2 linked regions of the Pelodiscus sinensis genome follow. The protein of the gene in region 2 interacts with the protein of the main gene of each other region in a biochemical or structural test. Links are inferred from orthologs where the notes say so. Each region holds a gene or a part of one and is shown on either strand. Other genes may lie near its edges.

Region 1 (7,261 bases), on a different chromosome or scaffold from region 2:
CAAGCACAGTGAGCGAAACTACCCTCTCCTGGGAGATTCTCTTGGTCGCAACAACCTTGCGGCCTACTGAGATGAAGGAGGGCCTCTCTTGGGGTCCCATCGCTAGTCCAGGTTGCCCCTCCCTGTTCTAAACAAAGGACCGAAGGACTCGTCCAAGCTGTGGGTGGCTTCCTGAGATTTGGCTTACGCCAGCGGTTCATTCCAACGCCGGTACAAGCCTGAGCCAAGAGCTTGGCAAGTGTCGTGTGTATTTAATGTAACTGTTGTAACTGTCGTCCTTTCTCTTCTTTTTACAAATAAACCTTTAGGCTATGTCTACACTGGCAGGTTCTTGCGCAAGGCTTCTTGTGCAAGAACACGTCCACACTGCCATGTGCTTTTGCACAAGAGCATCTGTGGCAGCGTGGACGCTCTCTTGCGCAAGAAAGCTCTGATGGCCATTTTAGCCGTAGGGCTTTCTTGCGCAAGACACCTCTGCCGTGCAGCCACACTGCCTTCTTGCACAAGAGCCCCTGCGCCAGAGAGCTGACACCTGTTAGACAAGAGCGTAGCTCTTGTGCAAGAAGCCCTCTTCCGACACTGTACTGTACGTCTTCTTGTGCAAGAGCGGGCGGGCAGTGTGGACGCTCTGCGGGTTCTTGCGCAAGAACTCGCCAGTGTAGACCTAGCCTTAGAGCTTAGTTACTAAGGGGTTGGCAACCACGTGATTGCTTGGGTCTGATCGAAGGTGTAAACTGAGCTGGGCATGAGGCTGGCCCTCTGGGAGCGGGAGAATTTGTCCGGATTGGTTCACATCACCTCCCCTTGGGGAACGTGGGGGTGGGGGGGCTACTGGCGGTGATGCAGGGGAGCGGGAGGGTCTGAGGGGGTTGCTTGTGGGACTTCTTGCTGGCCAGGGTAGGGGAACAGACGCGCTCTTTGCGACTGTTTGGTGCTTTATCGCAGGGAGCTCCAGTCGTGGGCTGTAGGACTGTCTCAAAGCAATTCGTTCTGAGCTGAGACTCTCTGGAGTGTCCCCCCAGAGCCCTTTTGTTACAGGGGACAGGGGGCACCAGCTCCCATCCACCCCCAGGGCAGGGACAGGCTGGCTCAGAAGGGTGGGGAAGGGGGCCTGGAGCCTTTCCCCTCCATGGCTGCTGTAGCTGGCTGTGGCTTCCAGTTGCTTTGTGGCCCCTGCCTGAAAGGGGTTCACTGGGTCTCTGCCCGGTTCCCAACAGGCTGGACCACAGCGCCTAAGCCCCGCTCTGCCCCTGAGAAGTGGGTCTCCCTAGTGTGAGGGGACCAGAGGCTCATGGAGCCGGGGGCTGCTTCGGGTGAGGCTTGGGGCCCAGCTGTCTCAGGGTGTCTACCGTCAAGGCCTGCCCTACCCTGGGGCGCTGGCGGGAATGGGCCATACTCTATGCAGCTCCTTGAGATGGGCCCTCAGTCCCATAGGATGGGGATGTGCCTCCATCATGCCCTACGGCTATTTTGGACTACAGACCCTACAAGAACAGCGGCTGAGCTGCAGTGTCATGATTCCAGAGAGACCCTACAATAACAATTCCACTGCTCGGGAAAGACCCTACAATGGGGGGGCGGGAAACCCATTAAATAAAGAGAGCTGAAACCGGCGGAAGAAATGCAAAGAGCTGCACCAGAATTGTCGAGCAAAAAAAAAACCACACACTGCCCCTTTAAAAAAACATGGGCTTGGGCTTTTGGGCCATAGCAGGCTCCCATTGGCTGCCGCCATCTTGCAGCTCCCATTTTCAATCACCTCCGGATGGCTCCCTGCCCCGGTGAGCACAGGGGGCCGATTGGAGGGGCGCTGGGGCAGCTTTGCAAGCCACGGGGGAGGCTGTGTGAGTTGCACTTTTGGGGGGGTGGGGAGAGCCGCATTCGGTTCACGAACCACGGGTTGACCACCCCTGCCCTACAATAACAAACCAGTACCCCTCCTCCACTGCCACAGGAGACCCTATAACAGCAAACCAGTGGGTGCGAGCCTGGGAGGGGGGCGGCTTGTGCAGTCCTTCGCTGCGCTGCCTGTTTGGCCCCTCTCTTCGGGCCGGCAGGGGCGGGGGCCATCACGTAGGAACCTGACGTGCAGACGGATCGAATGGATCATCTCCTTGGGTTAAGGGATCACCAGATGGGGTCAGACTGGTCCCCGTGTCCAGTTTGGGGCTCATCACAGTAGGCCAAGGGACCTGAGAAACGTGGCATCAGGCTGGGTCAAAGAGTCACCTGACTGGGTCTAGAGGCCATCAGGCCGAGATGGCTTGGTGATGGCTGGATGGAAGCTGCTTTAGCGGGATACCTCCTGGGCAGCGGAGGACGTGAGGGAAGAAACAGAACAGCCGAGCCGTCTTCTCCAAGATCAGTCCCGTCCCTCAAGCAAAGGAAGACAGGAGGCTGGAGATTCTGGAGGTGAAGTGCTTGCTAGGTTAGCGGCGGAGGGTTTGGGGTTATTTGAACATTTGACCGCCTTCCGCGGGGAGAAGGGGTGAACATAAGAATAGCCAGACTGGGTCATAGCAAAGGTCCATAGCCCAGCGTCCTGTCTTTCGACCGTGTCCAATACCAGTTGCCCCAGAAGGGAATCATCAAGTAATCCCTCTCCTGTCATCCATTTCCAGCCCCTGGCCAACAGAGGCTAGGGATACCATTCCTACCCACCCCAGCTAATAGCTATTGATGGACCGAATCTCCATGAATTTATCTAGTTCTTTCTTGACACCCGTTAAAATCCTGGTCTTCACAACCTCCTCTGGCGAGGAGTTCCACAGGTTGGCTGTGCACTGTGTGAAAAAAAACGTCCTTTTGTTTGTTTTAAACCTGCTACCTACTAATTTCATCTGGTGACCCCCTACTTTTCTTATGTTGTGGGAACAAGTAAATAACTTTTTTCCTTATTCACTTTCTCCATACCTGGCATGATTTTATAGACTTTTTTTTCTAAGCTGAAAAGTCCCAGTCTTTTTAATTTCTTTTCATATGGCACCTGTTGCAAACCCCTCAAGGTATAACGGTTGGACGCCTCCAGCTGAAGAGAAGAGGGCCCAATCTCCTTGTGGACAAGCTGGCTAGAGTAGCGCGTGTGTGTGTGCCACACAATTAGCAAGAGGAGCCTGCAGAAACCGCAAAGAGATGAGCACATTGCACAACATTGAGGTGCTGAGAAATAAATTCACCACAATTCATGAAGGCTGTTGATCAACTGGAGAGGGGTCAGAGAAGAGCCAGGAGAAAGGAGAAAGGGTTAGAAAACCTGCTGTACTGTGACAGACTCACGGAGCCCAATCTAGTCCATTAAGCAAAGAGAAGCTAATTGAGTTTCTAAGTACCTATGTGGGGAATAAATGTTTAATAACAAGCTCTTCGATCTAGCAAAGAAAAGTCTAAGCTGCTTCCGTGGCTGGAAATTAGAGCCAGACAAATTCAGGTTGGTACGAAGGCGTCCGTTAATTAACCGTCGGCACAACTTACCACGTGTCCCAGTGGATTCGCCATCCCTGGGAATGTTTCACTCCAGACTGGATGTTTTCCTAAGAGACGGGGTCTGGGAATTACTGGGGGGGGGGGGGGGGGGGGCAGGGCTGTGGCCTGTGCTAGACAGGGGGTCAGACTAGATGCTCCTATGAATCTGCGCCAGGCCGAGAAGTCCTTGTGCTGGGTCAAGGAAGCCAACACGTGGGGCCAAGGGGACTTCTCTGTGGGTAGGTGTCCCAGCTGCACAGGGGAGGCCGGATATTTGTCTTGGGTGGGGGCCTATTTCCCTCCCCACCCCCACCCCCGTCCTGGGTTTTCTCCCTGGCGGCGCGGCCACCTGCCCCCGCGAGGAGCCGCCGGGTCAGATCCCATCAGGGCAGCCCCCCCCCGGGGCCGGGGTCAGTGCACGGGGCCAAGGGCTCAACAGGCAGCGGGGGAGGGGGGGGGGGGGGTCACAGTGTCACCCTGCCAGACCTGGGGGGGGAGCAGGGCTGGGGTCATCAGGGCAGGTCAAAGGTCATGGGGCAGGTCAAAGGGTCAGCAGGGTGGGTCAAAGGTCAATCTATTGGGCAGGGAGTCAAGGGGGCGGGGCCAAAGCCTCACGGGAGGTGAGGGGTCAAGGGGGGCGGGGCCACGCAACCATGGGGGCGGGGCCAAGGGGAGGACAGAGGGAGGCGGGGCGCGGCGCAGCTTCCCGGCGTCATGGGAGAGGCAGGAAGTGACGTCACGGCGAGGGCGGAAGCCCGGCGGGGGAGCAGGGCGGAAGTGAGGGCGGGCGGCGGCTTCCGCTTCCGGTGCGGAGGGTCCAGCAGCCGCGGCCGCTCTAGCGCCGAGCGGAGCCTCCGGGGCCCCTAGAGCCGGGCGAGAGCGCCCCTCCCCCACCGGCCCGGGGACCCCCCCCCCCAAGTGACACCCCCTCAGGGCGGGACTCAGCCCCCCCCCCCCCGGCTTCTCCGCCCGATCTGAGCCCCCCCGCCCGGGGAGCCCCCCCCCACTGGGCCAAGGGGGCAGCCCCCCCCCGCGCGGGGCCCTGACATGCCCCCCCTGGGCCCGCGCCCCGCCCGGGGATAGGGGGGGATCAGAGGGGGTGGGTCGGTGGGCGAGAGACCCCCCCGCCCGCCCCTGAACCCCCCCCCGCCAGCGCCGCGGGGCCTGAACCCGGACGGGGGGTGACCCCGGGGGCTGGTCCGCCCCCCCCCCCCCCCGCCGGGCGGCGGCCCCGGTGCCCCGCGAAGCTTCTTCCGTCCCGGCCCCCGCGGGGGACGCGAGGTGAGTCCTGCGCGGGGCGCGTCTCGGCTCCGCTGGCAGCAGGGCCTAGGGGTTAGCGCGCCTGGAGCTCTTCTCTGCCTCAGTTTCCCCACCTGTGAAATCCGCTCCCCCTTCGCCGCTTTGGGGACCCTCCCCCCCCCCCGGGCGCTGCCAGCGAGGGCGGCCGCCCTGGGCTCTGCTTTCTGCGAGCCGGCGAGCGTGGGAGGTGAGAGGGACTCGTCCCTCTGAGTCAGCGCCGGTGCCAACTGCCGATCACCCCTTTGACGGGCTGGCGGCGCGCCCCGCGCTGTCCAGAGTTCACGGGAGGGCCGGGCTGCCCTGGCAGGGGAGATCGGGCTGGTGCCTTCGGCTCGGGCTGGGGGGCAGCTTGCAGAGGCTGGAGAGAAGGCCAGTGCTGCCCAGCATGGGGGATCTGGGCCCCGGGTGTTGTGGAGGGGGGGCCAGGCTGTCATGCCCGCCCCGGCTTTGCAGGGTGGCCAAAGGGGACAGGGGAGGCCGTTTGGGGAATCCAGAAGAGGCCCGTCTTGTACCCACACGGGGGTGGGAGGGCACGGGAGTGCGACTGGTGGTGCCTAATCTGGGGGCCTGGTGTAGGAGTGTGTGAGGCAGGGAAGGATTGGTCTGGGGACACGGTGCTTGGGGGGAGTGGGGCTGACCCAGGGAGATCCCTGGGCAGGGAGGGGGTGAGTGGGGCTGGCCCAGAGGCGGGGAGGGAATTGGAGGAAAAGGGGAGGCAGGCAGGCTGGCTGGCTGGCCAGCGGCCTTGACCACCGCAGGGAGTGGTTCTAATCCCCCAGCTCAGCCTTCTCTCTCACGTGGTTCATTGTCACGTCCAGACCCTCCCTGTCTGGCTGCCCGGCAGCCCAAGCAGGTTTATGGGCAGCCCATGGCACAGTGGGGGGGGGGGGGGTAGCTGACTCGTGGGGTGAGAGAGAAACTCTCCACAGCCTGGATGATTTATGGTCCCCCGAGAGGGCTCCCGGAAGTGCCTTTGTGCTGTTGTATCCCCACCTGCTCCCACCCCTCTCTGGAGAGCTACCGGGGCTGGGGACAGCTGGCCGGTTTGGACAGGGAGCTGACGGGGAGATCAGGACGGTGCTGTGCGGATCCCAGCTAGCGTGGTGGATCCCAGCTGGTTCCCTTCCATCTGCCTCCTCGCCGGGCGTGGTGCTTGGCGCTCGCAGAGCCGGGAGTCCCCTCAGGTGCAGCTCTGGGGCACCCATCTGGGCCTCTGGCTAGCGAGGGGCTGATCTGAGCAGTCGGGTCTCCCCCGTGTCATTGTGCCGCTCCTCTTGGCTTTCTGCTACCGGAGCCAGGGAACTGTTGCAAAATCCCCGCGGGGGATAGGCCCCTGCCGCCCGGTCAATTTCATAGTCGGCCCCAAACCTGCTGGAGCCTGTTGGTCCACCCTTCACGGGTGAGGGGCGGGACTCCCACTCCCCAGGGCTCTGGGGGTTGGGTCTGACATGAGACCCCCTGGGATTGGCAGGGCGTGGAGGGGGTGTGAGAAGAGCTGCGACAAGCCCTCCGACCAGCGTGTGGTTATGGGAAGGTCCAGTGGGTAGGAGGCAGATTAGTGCTTAGAGCAGGGAGGCAGGACTCCTGGGTTCTCTTCCCAGCTTTGGGTGGGGGGGTCTAGTGGTTAGAACGGGCAGGGGCTGGGAGCCAGGATTCCTGGGTTCTCTCCCTGCCCTCTCTCCATGAAGCGGGGGGTGGCCTGCATGGGAAGAAGGGGAGGGGGTTCCCTGAGTCCCAGGAGCACTGCAGGACCACTGCATGGGCTCTGAGGGCCAGGGGGAACCTGCATTCCACCCCCTGGAGGTCTCCAGCCCCTGCAGCTCCCGGGTCCCAGCTGGCAGCAGCCAGAGGGGAAGGAAGTGAGGCCTTGTGCCTTTCTGAGTCATGGCGCCAGGACGCCTGGAGCTTTCCTTCCTTCCCCCGGCGCTCGCCGGGCTCTGCTCCGTGGCTCCGATCCCTGGGTCCGGAGATGTGGCTGCCTCTGGGGTAGAGCTGGGTGCTGGTTATCCAGGCACCCATCCCTGGTGCTGGGGTGCGGCCCCTCTGGGGCAGAGCATGGGGAGCGGGTCACCTGCACGCCCCTAGCCCCAGGCTAACACACGTCTGGCTGCGGGGCCGGCTGTGACGGGAGGGGCGAGTCCCTCCCCCACCCCCACAGTGCGGCGCCCCCAGAGCTCTGTGTCTCTTCCTTCCCCGGGGCCTTTGGCTGGAGGCTGAATTCCAGCTGCGCTTGGCGTCCAGCCGCTGGGGGCTCCAACCACTGGCTGCTGCTGCCTCCCGCCAGCTTGGGTGCGTTCTCTCCTGGGTCTAGACCCCCCCCGACCCCTCCCAGAGTTAGTGCTCCCTGCCCGCACGCTCCCGCCGGGGAGGGACAGAGGAGGCCCCGGAAGCCAGTCCCCCCCGGGGGAGTGTCGGACTCCTGGCTCCCAGCCCCCCTTTTGAGCCCCAGAGCCTGGGAGAGAACCCAGGAGTCTCCTGCTCTAACCACTAGCCCCCACTC
Region 2 (7,227 bases):
GATATTTACTGTGAGAGCTGGGCACATCTCCAGCACACACTCCCTTCTAATTCCTGTCCGAGTCATGTCTTATCAAACTCAACTGGAATATCTCTGGCATGATGTGGTTAGGACAAATATCTCCCATTAGAGAGATGTAACTTGGAAATTTACAAATTAGAAGTGATTTAAAAAAATGAAATCCATGAAGTGATGTCATTCAGGATAGTATCTAAGCAATGTTTCTGAGCTTCTAGTTGAATTTTTTTCTAGTTGAAATAGTATTCGCATTCCAAGTACTATTTTTCTACATTCTAATGATTTAAATCAAATGTATCTGTATCTCTTTAAATCTAAAAAAAATCCTTTTTAATATTACTGAAGATAGCTTTGATAACCATACTCTCAGGACGCTAAACATGAAAACAGTGAGAGCAAATCAGGGAAATGGTCAAAACACCTGAGCCATACACCCGGTAATTCCCTGCAATCTAAATCTAAAACTAATTGAATGGAAAGCTTATTCTGAAATGAGCCTAACATCGGGGAACAAAAAAGTAACCTTGTCAGAATCCATTCAAATGACAGTCACCTGTCTTCACTCCTCAAAAAATGATCTTCCTAGAGGATAGAGTTGAAGATTTAAAAATAGACAATGCTGACTCAATATAACTCTGGGGTTTCCTTGAATAGTGGAAGAACATTGATCCACCAGCTCTTTTCTGAATGGATGCCAAAACTACATGAGGACCCACTGAGTATAAAATGAGGCTGTATTTGACACTACAGTTGCATTAGTTGCACATTGCAGAGAGCTCCTTATAACATACTAGTGGTTTTAAAGAGGGAGAGGGAAAAAAAAGACAACCATAAGCTTGCACAAGTATACCATCCCATTAAATCCCTGAATATTGAGCCCACTACTGTAAGAAATAAAAGTACTGATGATAAACTCAGGCGATATGTAGAGTTCTGGTAAAAACTTCATTCAACTTCAGACTTTCACTAAATCGCAAATTCACAGTAGTTGCTTCCAGCCTGTAAAATCTTGCTGAGTTTGCTAGAGAACAAAAATTACCACTAGAAGTGAAAATATGAACACATGAAGGTGAACCTGTTCCAATATATTTTCCAAATGGCATTTTTATCAAGGCTTTTGTCAGTGAATTCTATAAATGTCTTTAGGCGTGTGTAGTGCTCTGAATACCTCAAATGTTCTGTTAATCCCTTAAACAGGGAGAATTGTCCATTGGTTTTGCAAGACAATATCATCTCACCCTTGGCTTCAAAAGACAATCCAAAAGCCTGTAGATACTTACCAATCTAAGAAAGAACATATTAGAGAAAATTCAATAGTGTGCTTCAAAATGCTTATCTCTAGCATAACTTCTCATTAACCGTTGTCAATTTATTCCCTGGAGAACTACAAATCGTAATATTTTGTGAAAATTACACTTGACTGATCAACTCAACAGATTAAAAAGAACCTGGTTGGGATTAGTAAATGCCCTTTCTGCCTCTGGAATTAATGTTTTAAAGTATTGGCCAAATTAATTTAGGATATTAATTTAATTCCATCACACAGCATTCTTTTCCATTTTCATTATTTTGCTTGATCAGCTTCTGATCAATCTTGGACTTTAAAGAGGGGCTGAAAGCAAAAGTGTCCTCATTTTATTTTTCTCTATCCTTTATATTGCTTGTAATAGCTGTCAAATCCTTCAGAATTTCAGGGCATTACAATCTATGATAAACATAATGAGTTTGTTTTTGTAGACGATTACATGTGAAATGCAGGATTACATTTGATCCTTTACAGAAACAGTGAAGGCCAGTACAGTATACTGTCTGGTGTATCTGTAAATATGATGAAGTTGAGAGCTTGTTTTTTCTTAGTGATCTTCTGATGGATTGAAATCTGGGAAGATGGTGCATACAAATTTTGCCTACGATAACTAAAGCAATCATGCTAAATAAGTTTTTATGTGGCTTTACTTTAAGATTTTCCATTACTAACTTAAGCTGAGTCAGCTTGATAAAATGAAAGACTTTCTTGAAATCCTCCCTGTACTTCTTCTTACTTGGTATAAAAGAGCTAGCTAAAATTGTTGAGCTGTCTAGAGTAGCTCATGAGCATGAGATCTAACCTCAAGGCAGAATGTCAAGAAACAAAGTCCAAACCTCAAACTGATTGTATGTTCTATAATTAAATTTCACCAACCAGATAACAAGTGTGAACGTCTAAAGCACTCTGACAATTTTAACATGAAACCACAGACAATTTCTTTGGTCTCTCTTGTATAGCTTGCCACCCAGGCAAGTTTGCCTTTGTAGCAGATGGTCCGTTTCACCAAAAAAACCACAATAATAGTCATGCTACTCCCAGTACCAGAGGATCTGTCCATTACTCCACATTAGTTTACTCTTAGATCTGTTACCAAAGATAATGTTTGAAGCCAGTCCTGTGATTAAACTAACTACAAAAGATAATAGAAGCTCTTGTAATATGTAAACTCTTCAGGGCTAAGCAACTAAGGGATCCTTTGGTTATGATTGGAAATGTGCCATCTCCAAATTCCAGGCAGTATAATGTTAATTTCTCCTTGACACAGATTTTTATGCATTCCCCCACTGTTCAGGCAATTATAGGATGAGTGCTTTTGTACATATCTGCTTCATGGATGTGGGGAAGCAATCAATGCAGTCTTTTGTTCACTGATGCGCTTTACTATGATTTTATTTGTGTCAATATATGCCGCCTTTTTCCGGGGAGTAGATGAGACCTCTTGTGGCAAACTAATATTTTACGTTTGGTAATGCTTCTTTCGTGACTGAAGTTTTACGGTTTTTAGCAAACATTTTTGTGCTTCAAGAACAAATCCTTAATGTACCCCTTGTTATCTGTATATGTATTTTAGAGAGTGTCTGCCCGTTTGTTCAAGAACTCCTCCTCATAAGAGCTATGACTATGAAATTTGATATGCAGCTTCCTCTTACCCTAACTTAAACCAAGGTCAGGGTTTGATTGTGCTTGGAAAATGGAAAGTTCTGGGAATGGGACTATTTCCCGTAACATGGAAAGGGAGGGGACAGAGAGAGGAAGAACGTGAAAGGGAGGGGCACAGAGAGGAGGGACGTGATACTGAGAGCAGCTACTGGTGGTATCTGCCGCGCCAAGAAAATGGCCAGAAGGGCTTGGATTCTGCCTTCTTGCCTGCCAACACACTGGTAAGGAGCCCCCCACCTCAAACCTGGAGCCTGTCCCCACACTCCATCATGGAGAGACCTCAGGGCATGGGGAGGGCGCTGAAGGTGAGGGCATCCCCACAGCCTGGCTCCTCTACAGGCAGCCTGTAGGCCACAGGGGAATATATGCGGGTGGGGGTTAGATGAAGGGGGAAAGTCCCCCGAGCCTCAACCCCCAACAAACTATAGGCTGGTGGCTGCAGGCTGCCGCAGTGTTGCTGCATGAGAGGGCCTCGCTTCTTCCCGATAGGCTGTGGGGGAGGACAGTTGCGGGGCTTGCTGGCAGGGGAGTGCTGCCACGGCCCCCCGGAAGGAGTTGCCACCAGAGCAGTGCTGCCCTTGCTGCCATGGGTGGCCCTGGTAAGCCCTCCCCATTTCCCAGCTCTGACTCCTACCTGCCTTGACTTTTTAGCATCCCCTCCTCCTATCCTGAGCCCTCCCCATATCTCCCAAACGTCTGCCACTCTGCCTCTCCTCACCCTTGATCTCTCACGCCTGCCTTCATTTTTGAAATATCATTGAAATAATACATTTTCGTTTCTTTTTCCTAAAAAACCTCACCTCTTCCGTTATAGACCAGAGCAAGGCTGAATACATCTTCTAGTAATATTTATAAGGTGAAATACATGCAGACCTCTAGAAACTTTTCATGAAATCTAAACACATTCCTATAATTCTGATGTTATTTTTAACAATACTAACACACAGGTGACCCAGACTTTATTTTATTTTATTTTATTTTATTTTATTTTATTTTATTTAAATATTTTTACCCTGCCTCTCTATTTAAAATATTCAAGGCGACTTATAAAAAACTGTTTAAACACAATACAAATATATATAAAAATTTAAAATATAAGACTCCAGAGGGACATAAAATGTGCTAAAAACATATAGAGAAGAGAAACACACACATACAGACTCAAACATTAATAAAAGCACGAGTAAAAAGGGTGGCTTTAGCCTGACACCGAAACAATGTTAGTGTTAGTGCCATGAGAATATCCCGAGGAAGAGAATTCCACAGTCTGGGAACAAAAGCTGAGAAGGCCCTGTTCTGCACAAATGTTAATCTTATCTCCACAAGTGGGGGAACATGAAGCAAAGCCTCCCCAGCTGACCTCAATCTCTGGGCAGGTTCATATGGGAGAAGACGGTCCTTCAGATACCCCGGACCCAACTCTTTTAAGGCTTTATCGATCGTGACTAAAACCTTAAAGTGTGCCCGGAAACATACTAGAAGCCAGTGCAGCTGCTGAAGCACTGGCATAATGTGCTCTATATAACGAGTATTAGTTAAGATTCGAGCAGTCTTAAGATTCTGGACCAGTTGACGTTTCCGAAGGTTCTTTAGAGGCAGCCCCATATAAAGTGCATTACACTAATCCTGTTGGGATGTAACAAGAGCGTGGATCGCTGTTGCCAATTCATGCTTGTTCAGGAAGGGTCGCAGCTGATGGATCAAACGAAGCTGCCCAAAAGCACTTCTGTTTGTCATTGTTCAGTGAAGCCCCTGGGCCTTGTCATAAGGTGGCATCTTGTCTGCCAGCCTCAAAAAAACAGGTACGATCAAAAGAACATCAGTAATTGTCTTGTCAAAGACCAAAACAAAGGAGATATTAATCTCTCCTTCTTGAATTTTTGTAGCTAGGCCGCTATAATTTCATGTGGTTGGTACTTTACAGACACTCAAAGCTTGCAGTTTATTCTTTTCCATCTGATATTTGGCTATGAACGTTTTGTTCCCTCGGGAGATGAGGTCACATCCAGTCCTAGGTACCGCTCTGTAAATGTGGGAAAATGCAATCTTGTACCTAAGTGCCTTGCCAACATTATCATTGACTTCCTGGATATGCCGTTTCCTTCAGGACAGGAAAAGTTGACATTGCAGACTTTTCCAGGGCATATTAGTAATGAACTCTGAACTACTCCATTAAGCTTAACCTACCTCCTGAGGATTTTGGTATGTACATATAAGTCTGATGCTTTGAAGGCATGGTTACTAAAGGAGTTACTAAAGGAGAAAATCTGCAATTGGGAAGAACTGATTGGAAGAGAATCATGTGGTGGTCTCATCCAGATAAGATCTTTATTGTACATTGATTTATTTGAGTATTGCTCAGATGTATACTTGAAATCCTGTACCTTTTGTTGAAGACCTTAAAACTCAAGTGTAATTAAAGGTTGAAAAATCTTGAATGCTACTCCTGGCAGACCACAGATGTTGCTGGACCAGAGAGTTCTGGATTAGAGAGGTTCAACCTGTATTAAATAGATACATTTCTGTATGTTTATAAATAAAAATTAATGTAAAAATATTTCATTCCCTTGCATTAACTCCTGAGTACAAAGTGTGGATAATATTTTATAGTTAGGTTAAGTTTAAGAAAAATAGTGGATTCATTCTAGCACCCGCTTTAAAATGCATCTGTTCTAATGTAAAATGCATTTATTTTGAAAGGAAGCTGTTAAAATACACCGAAGAGAATTTAGTTGCTTTAGAATTCAAAAGAGAGAGGGGGGGCATTCTTCTCTGGTAGCCTGCTGATTAAGAATGTGTATTTTGTAGCAGTTCTGGGTACTAATCAGTGGTGGTATCTTTCACAGGTTGATTCTAGTAACACTGGAAGAGTGGTGGCTTCTGATGCTGCTGCTTTCTTGAAAAAATCTGGGCTGACAGACTTGATACTTGGAAAGGTATTAATTATTTAATGAGTAACATTATGCCTTCAATTATGCTGTCTATTCCTGTTACAGTTTCCTTTCAGAAATACTATACATGTGTGTACAAAATGCTAGTATACAATATGTAATTTTGCTTTTATATATTGCACCTTTCATACAAAATACTTCAAAATCAGTGAACCTTACAACCTCAGTGGATAAATAATATTGTACTTACTGTGCAAGTTATGCTATGAGGATTAGGGTTTGATTCTATAAATACTGAGTACTTGAGTCAGCATTGAGGTGCTTTGCTCTTCATATTAAGTATATATTTGGCCACATAGCCAATAAGTGACAGAACTCAGATACAGAACTCACAAAGTCTTTATTGTAAATGGTATAAAATACTTATTCTAAGGACATTTATGGTCATCTGGAACTCTACCTAACATTTTATACATGATGATAAAACTATATTATAACCTTTTTTTAGGTAAGTTATGCAGGCACTTGAGTTATAAAATATGACTGTTTCTTTTCCTTTAGCTATAACTGATCAAGTTTCTATAATACATGGAAAAATAAGGACAGAGTAGTGACCGTAATTCCATGATTTCTAAACTGTTGACAGATTTGTATTTATCCTAAATGTTGTCTGGTGGATTGAGTAAATAAAATGAACTGTGAGTTTTTGTTTAAATATTTAATATATAGACTATACATTTTTACAAATCTGTTATATTTATATTTTAAAATATTGAGCTCGGTGGTCTTTCAAAGAATATGGAATAAGGAGGAGGTTAGTTAAACAGAAATGAAAAGGCACAATGACTAGTGCCAAATCCCTGCAAGCTGCATGGAAACTTTTTAATGACCCTATAATAGAGGCCCAACTTAAATGTATACCCCAAATTAAAAAACATAGCAAGAGACCTAAAAAAGAGTCACCGTGGCTTAACCACCATGTAAAAGAAGCAGTGAGGAACAAGAAGGCATATTTTAAGAAGTGGAAGTCCAATCCTAGTGAGATAAATAGAAAGGAACATAAACACTGTCAAATCAAGTGTAAAAATGTAGTAAGAAAAGCAAAAAAGATTTTGAGGAACAGTTAGCCAAAAGCTGAAAAAGAAATAACAAAATGTTTTTAAGTATATTAGAAGCAGGAAGCCTTCTAACAAACCTGTGGGTTCCCTAGACAATCGAGATATAAAAAGAGCAATCAAGGACGATAAAGCCATTGCGGTTAAACTAAATGATTTCTTTGCTTCAGTCTTCACTGCTGAGGACATTAGAGAGATTCCCAAATCTGCACCATCCTTTGTGGGTGATGAATCT

What was found.
Region 1: the proteins of EPS15 (region 2) and EPN1 form a complex in vitro, tested with the Homo sapiens proteins (4 studies listed by BioGRID and IntAct, with this or other methods). The link is inferred for Pelodiscus sinensis from reciprocal best matches to the Homo sapiens genes EPS15 and EPN1.

What each region holds. Positions count from the first base shown.
Region 1 is NW_027465849.1:3,116,202-3,123,462, reverse strand, and holds the start of EPN1 (epsin-1), read left to right. Parts: upstream 1-4,238; 5' UTR 4,239-4,743; intron 4,744-7,261. UniProt on the Homo sapiens protein: Binds to membranes enriched in phosphatidylinositol 4,5-bisphosphate (PtdIns(4,5)P2). Modifies membrane curvature and facilitates the formation of clathrin-coated invaginations. Regulates receptor-mediated endocytosis.
Region 2 is NC_134719.1:8,705,506-8,712,732, reverse strand, and holds the start of EPS15 (epidermal growth factor receptor substrate 15), read left to right. Parts: upstream 1-4,182; 5' UTR 4,183-5,220; coding exon 5,221-5,319; intron 5,320-5,832; coding exon 5,833-5,922; intron 5,923-7,227. UniProt on the Homo sapiens protein: Involved in cell growth regulation. May be involved in the regulation of mitogenic signals and control of cell proliferation. Involved in the internalization of ligand-inducible receptors of the receptor tyrosine kinase (RTK) type, in particular EGFR.